Drosophila melanogaster: one gene and its partner. The protein of the gene in region 2 interacts with the protein of the main gene of each other region in a biochemical or structural test. Each region holds a gene or a part of one and is shown on either strand. Other genes may lie near its edges.

Region 1 (3,756 bases), on a different chromosome or scaffold from region 2:
TTTATAAATCTACTTTAAAGAAATTAATAGTAAACAGAAGATAATTAGCATATGGACATTTAAACTACAATTTTCCCATTATTGTTCTTTTCAACAGGTCCGTTTGAGTATTTTCAATTTATCGAATTATTTCATTTAACACTTCGTTTATTTATGATATATCTACAAAAAGAATATATATTTTCTTGAACATTAAGGAGAATTTATCAGTTATAACTATACTAATTCTTAGGATTACTCTTAACATTTTAATAATACCTATTTAATTGTTTTTGAAAATTTGTTGGCACCTTCGGATATATTTGTTCGAGTGCATTGTGCGTTTTGGCTGCGTATATGTACATATGAATGTAACCCTTTGCAAACATGTCTATTTTGGTCAATGGCAATGGCAACGCAAGCCATTTGTTAATTGTTGCCACACCCCTGCGGCCGAGAAAATCGAGCCGGGACGGGACCTGAATCTGGGGATCTGGCATATGGGATCTGGGATCTGGATGCCATGGACAGAGAACTGAAGCCGGGGGTCCGGGGCCTTTGGCCGCCTGTCATAATTACGGAACTGGCTGCTCAAGTTGCCGCAGCTGGCACCTAAGACATTGGCCATGGCTAAAGACCTGCATCGTCGCCTGCCTAGTTATTAAATAGATGGATGAATGGATGGATGGATGGGCGATACGGGGCTGCTGGGCGATTCCGATTCCATCGATGCCCGACCACAGATCGGGTTTCAGGTATTAGTCAGTAATTAATCATCCGCCTTGTTATAACGGCCAATTGTGTAATTACAGCATATATGGATATCTAATGCGTTCGATAAAAATGTAAATGCGCATACATACATATATGTACCTACATATATCGTCCTCAATCGGGCGAATTGAGAATTAATGGCCAATAAGCGAAAATGAATCATGCAATTGGCGCCCAATGGCTTCAAGTTCTCGCAAAATGTTGTAAAGCCCTCGGCCCAAAAGCCGAACCTCTCGAGGGCCCACTAAAACCCCGATATAAACAGGGCCCGCAGCCAAGATGTTAAAACACCCACCCACCGCCAACTCTACACACACACACTCGCACACACACACACACATATATGTAGACCGGAAATCGCCGGCGATAAATCTCCCATTTACCTTTAAACTCGAAATACGACTACCAATGGGGATCGAGGGTGAATCGGAGGAAAATGGGTGCGGAAGTTGGGGAAGTTAGGGAAGTTGGGATGTGCGGGAGTGGACACTGTTACGTCCTTAAATCCACTAACAAATAAAGGAATAAATTGCCCATAAAAAGGATTTTGCAAATGCCGGCTGCAACTACGGAACCCACTTGTGTTTCCTATTTTACAGTTATTGTGCACTTCTTTCTAGTTTAGTTGCTTGTACTAAACTTAAAGAATTGCGCGACCGCAAATGCCAACAAGTTTTGTGCGATTCTTGTCCACAGGCAAAAGTCAAAATATTATGATCAAGTCTGTAGCTTCTCTTTTGATGCAAAATATGGCTGGAATTGTTTTTTACTGTGTCTACATAATTTCGATTTATATTCGTGCTTTCTTCTTCTGATTTATTTAATTATCCCATGTGTATTAGCTAATAAATATAACGTTGAACAATTTTGAATTGAAAGAATCACACTGTAGCAAAATACTTGATGAGTTTGGATAAATTTAATTAATTAGAATTTTCTGCACAACGTATAGAAAATTTGTTGAAATCAATCTTTACTTCCATTTGTTTAATTTTTGGAAATTATCATTTGTTGTAAGATCTTTTATAATATTTTCTATCAAAATACAGGTTACATGAAAAACCAAGTGGAAAATTAAGAAAGTAAAATTGAAATGGACGAATTAGCTGTTTTCTAGCCAAGCGGGGAGGTTCGTGTCTTAGCTCAACGAATATCGTGGCTCTGCACCTGATTTGAATTCGACGGTCACACAGAAATACCGAAAACCGACATGTACAATTTGTTGTGTACTTGGTATATTTGTCGTGACCACATCTGGTCACACTGCTCGCATAAGATCAACAACTACTGCGGCCATTCTTACATTCTACTCCTAAAAAAATTCCGAAAGTGCACTTAAATAGCCCAAAATAATAACAAAACATAATAGTGACCGGACGATGCAGCACCGCCAACAAAATAAAGTGTGAAAACAAGTGATTGAATACCCGGAAAGTCGCCTCGCGAAGCGGGAACTAACGTGTTTGGCTGGCCTGTTTTTTCTCTCTCCTCTTTTTCGCCAACCAAAAACCAGGCTAACAGTGATTTTTTCGCGGGGGAGGGGGTGCGACGAGCCAAAACCCGTAGTAAAGAAACCGCCCGAAAGGAGCGCCCACTTTGGCCAGCAACTTTAGCTCAGCTCCCCGAACCAAAAGTGAAGAAAAAAACAAAAAACTAAAAGGAAAACTTAAGTAAAACGGGGGCGTCTATCGCTTGCAAGTGTGTTGGTTAGTCAGTGTACGTGTGTGTTGGCCAGAACAAGTTGGCTGCGCGTGTGTGCGTGTGAGGGGTTTTTTGATGTCTGCGCTGTCTTTTTTCCCCAGCCGAGGTGAGCACACAGGTGAATTATCGGTGCATTCGGCTGCCTTGGCAACAATTCCATAAAAACAACACATAGAAAACAACAATAACGACCACCCGCAATATATAATACATACATACACACGTTTAAAACCAAACAAAATCCAGAAAAATGCTCCGTTTTCTAAGCCGTCGCAAGGTGCGCAACAACTATGTGGATAATTCGAGAGAGGGCGGCGGGGCAACTAGTTCCGCGGTGGGCGTGGCTGGGGGTGGTGGTGCCATCACCTCCGGCGGCAGCTCACAAATAAAGCCACAACGCATCGTGGTCAACAAGAACAAAATCGACTGCCGCGTCATTCTGCTGGACAACACTGACCTTTCCATCGAATTATCGGTGAGTACAGGAGGGCCCACATCGAATTACATTTGGCCCATTTTCGATTTTTTGGCTTTCACCCTTTAAACTGCTGCCGTTGGCAGTAATTTTCGGAAGGCAAACAAACAAGCGATTGGATCTTATAAGAGAATACCGTCAAGGTAGAGATAAAGATAGAGCTAAAGTGGTTGGTAGGGCGGCTCAGTATTACGTACTAAATAAATAATGTCTTAAATTTTACGAATCATCTTTAGCTCTATCCTTTATACGAATTTTAAATTTGAGCTCAGAAATATTATTTATATTAAGAAGTAAGTCAGGGTATTTATTGTCCATTAAATGCACTCTGCTAAGAGAAGTATTGAATTCTCAAAACAGCCCAAAACAATTGTGTAGCAAACGTTTTAACCATTTCATTTATTGGTCCACCCTAATGAAGACACTACCGCAGCTTGCATTGCCTCAGTCCGTGTGATAAAAATAAGCAAATTGCTGCTGATCAGCACATAATTTAACCCGCTAAGCGAACGTGATTAGTTCAGGGTCGCATTGATTTACACCTGCCCCCCGTCGGAAGCATTAATTTTCCACTTTGCTGTTTGCGATTGCAGAAAAAGGCATTGGGCAGCTTTTTGTACGAACAGGTATTCTACGCACTGGACATCATCGAGAAGGATTACTTTGGGCTGCAGTTCATGGATGCCAATCACGTCAAGCACTGGCTAGATCCCACCAAGCCCATCAAGAAGCAGGTCAAAAGTGAGTTAATGTGTGAAACCAATTACGTGGGCCAAACAATACTAATTATTTTACCTTTCCCGCAGTTGGGCCGCCCTACACGTTCC
Region 2 (3,756 bases):
TTTATACAGTAAATTACTAAAAAAACGAGGGCCTGAGGTTAAAGCATAATAAACAAGGAATACACTCTTCTTGGCTACGAATGTAGGACATTTTAGTTTTATTGGGTAAGATACTTAAACTGATACTTAGTACCCAAAATTGTTTTTACCATTTAATTTTATTGAGTATTAATATCCCTTGCAAAGTGTAGTTCTTATTCAAATTTTTCCGAGTTATCCATATATCCTTAACCATTTCATACCTGTGGTCATTCTGTTTTTCCGAACACCGATATGTAAAACAAGAAAAAAGCCAACTAACGGCCCAGCAGATATGATAACTGCCAGTCGCACTAAACAAAGTTCGTGGCTGGTGTGGGGTTTTGATGGAGAGGGTGTTACAGTTTCCGCTACCCTTTTTATGCGGCTTTGTTTTTGTTCTGGGGAGCAGGCTTCCTGATATTTTGTGGCCAGTCCACATCTTCACATATGTACATACATATCTCCGAATGACAAAAAAGAACAGTGTGTAAGGACAACATGTTGGTTGTTGTTGTTGCATACCCGGTACTTTTCAAGGGGTATGCTGTATTCGTTAAAAACAAGCGTACTCCAAGTTCTTTATTCATCTATTTTTCAGGACATATCCCAAAAATTATGCTACTTAAATATTCAATTGCCTGGTAGTGGGTAGCTTTTCTGTCGCAACACTTGACAGTCTCATTCTTTCTTGTTTTTATTCTTGTGTTATGTGGCCACGTGTGAAAAAATGCGGCTTAAAATGTATTAAAAGTATTCTGTGTGCGTCTGTTTTCCTGCGACTGTGTGTGTGTGCGTACGGGAGAGGGACATTGTCAAGGTATTACGTTACCGTTACACGCACTCCTGCATATGTTAGGATGTCCTGTCTGTGTGTTTGTATGCCGCACATGTTTTCTGTTTGTGTGCTTATTGTTGTTGTGTTGATTAGTAAATGGCTGTTGGTGAGTGTGTTTTGCATTTATACAAGCCCGTGTTTTGACTTCTCTGTTGTTGCTTCTCTTGTTTTTTGGTTTCGTTTTTTTTTTTTAATTTTTTCTTATGTTGGAAAGTGTGTTTCCGTAGAACTTCGCTTCACCTTCCGGCTTCATCTCCGCCCAGCAAAAACCTCTGCAGCTCTCCCAAAAACAAAGCAATACAAAAAGTTAGAATCTGTAAGCTAACGGTATAATTTATGCGCCTGCAATATGGCAACGCTGTCCGGCACACACTCACACACATACGCATATGTACATGAAAAACTTTTGTCCAGGTCCGAAGAACTTTTTTTGCAGCTCATAAGGTCGATACACAAGATGCCATTACCCAAGAGCGAGACAGCGATGGCCAACAGAGAATAGATGGAAGGACAGAGAGAGAGAGAGAGCGAGAGAGCATTTCCCCAGATGCCACAAAAAACAGCTGAGCCAAAGAGAAAGGTATTGCCATCCATTGAATCTAAGATGGCAATGCTAAAGCGCCGGTCTGCGGCTTTTATTTTCGCTCTCTCTCCAAAAGTGAAGTATATTCACAAGGCCACGACAGGCTGTTTGGAGCTAGAAAGAGCGGGGAAGGGAAATTTTCTTTTTCCAATCCTTGGACGAGGACTGAATTTTAGTAACATCTGCCCCACTCAGTTCCGGATCATTTGGATCACCTTCATCCATCGAAACGGATCCGGAATTGTAATTTCAGATTATAGAATTCTTACTTTACTCTTACTCTGTTTACGTGTTGGAATAAAAAATGTTTTTAAAAATTATATTTTTCATTTCTTCATTTTCGAGACAGTCATAGCAAAATAGCTTACCTAAAATGAATTGTTATAAAATATTTTTTTTAATAATAATTTTTTTATAGTCATTCATTAAAAACGTCTACTAAGAAACTACTAAAAGAACAAAACATTTTTTCTCAAATTATCTAGTTTCTTTTTTCGCTCTTGCTCTTTACTTTTTCCATTCGCCGAGACTCGCTCTCAATAGCTTTCTCCATGGCTTTCCGCTACATTCTCCCCGAAAAATTTCCCTAGCATACTTCTCTGCATCGGCATTTCACTCGCGCGTTGGCCGCTCGCCTGTGTGGAAGTGCCGTGCGGATTTCGATTCGAAGATATAACTCCCCGGGCCTTACAAACAAATACATAATTATAGATATATATATACATATACATATATATGTATACAAATATACAAGATTTTGCACAGCTAAACGGCAAATCGAGTTTCTGCGCTGTGAATTAACAAAAGAAAGCGGAAAAATCGAAGTTGTATGTCGGAAAAGGAGTACAAATCAGTGAATAACATAATTCCATATAATTATTTTCTTAAACATTTCCACTCGCTCTTCGGCAAGTCACGAAAATCTTGCGGAAAAAATCAATTGGCCCTGTGCAATATTTTTTGACTGTTCTGCCGAAGTTGTCGTACATTTCTGATTAGTTGCCATACAATTTTCCGCTGAGAGAAGGGGTCGGAAAATGGGGAGGTGGAAAGGCAATGGACGTGGAATGATTAACATAATTTTGTGAATGTTTCTTTAATGAACGTTTTTTAGTGCTGCTAATGAAGTAAAAACTTTATGAAAGAGTTACCCCAGAGATGTGATGGAATTTATGACCGTATCTCGCAAAATCAATATATTTTGAAAGATTATAATTTACCCCTTTATAAAGTATTAATAATAATAATTCATTCTTGTTAAAAAAAAAATTGAATATAAATATGGTTTTTTAGTTTCTATTAATAAAATCCTTGCTTTTATTCACTTTCTTAAAGTATAAAAACGTAAAAAACAAAACGCAGACAAAAACGCAGGTGAAATCCCACACACTAAGCATTTTTCTTTTATATTTTAAATACCTCAGTGCAATACAATTAAAGTTCTAGAACGCTTTAAAAACATACCATTTCCTATGCCTCTATCATTTTGCACTTAGACAAAGGGGAGCAACCACGATAAAAAAATCAAAGAATTGATTTCCATTTTTGTGGGTTCCCTTACACTTTTTCTGCATCACGCTGTTCACTTTTTTCCCAAATTTTTTGGCTGCTGTGCGCCAGACACTGGCAAACAAAACCACACACACTCGCACACTCACACACACTTGCAAACACATATGACGCAAAATGAGGCAGTGTGTGTGTGTGTGTGCGAGTGTGTGATGGTGTGCGAGAATCCCCACCCTAAACTTGACCTCAGGCATTTGCACTTCATCAAGCGCTTCTTGCACCTCGGCGACCGTCTGGTTGCCCAAACTTGGCCCAAACCGACTATACTATATAGACGAGATGGATCCATTTCGTATGCATACATACATATATGTAAGGCATATATGCACATATACTATATATATTTATGTACATATACATATGTATATAATATGAGTCAGTGGGCTAGTAAGAAGCTGCAGGGCGAAACAATTTCTTTTTATTCATTCTTTGCGGAAAGCGTTTTGCTGGCCAAGCTGTCGCCCTGCCATTTAAACTTGTTCGTTTCTTTTTGGCCCGAAGGCTTTCACTCGAACCAGGTGTGTGTGCGTCTCCTTTTGCCAAAGTTAAATCAGCAAATTTCCACTGCTTTTTTGGGTACCCTGGGGTTCTGTTTTTGGTCTGTGTTCCTTTTCTTTTATTTTAGGTTTGCCTATGCAGCCTCTGGCAGATTCGGTACCCAGTTCGCTTGCTAGCTGGCCCCATTATGATTGTTGGGCAAATTTTAATGATGCCATTGGGCTTAATGAAATTATTGTTAGTTCAGCAA

The links. Proteins that work in one complex are often made in the same cells at the same time.
Region 1: of the proteins of aPKC (region 2) and yrt, one has a biochemical effect on the other in vitro, tested with the Drosophila melanogaster proteins (one study listed by BioGRID).

What each region holds. Positions count from the first base shown.
Region 1 is NT_033777.3:13,433,221-13,436,976, reverse strand, and holds the start of yrt (yurt), read left to right. Parts: upstream 1-1,992; 5' UTR 1,993-2,704; coding exon 2,705-2,929; intron 2,930-3,522; coding exon 3,523-3,670; intron 3,671-3,735; coding exon 3,736-3,756.
Region 2 is NT_033778.4:14,956,754-14,960,509, reverse strand, and holds the start of aPKC (atypical protein kinase C), read left to right. Parts: upstream 1-2,053; 5' UTR 2,054-2,266; intron 2,267-3,756. UniProt on the Drosophila melanogaster protein: Serine/threonine protein kinase which is required for apico-basal cell polarity in the germ line as well as in epithelial and neural precursor cells, for epithelial planar cell polarity and for cell proliferation.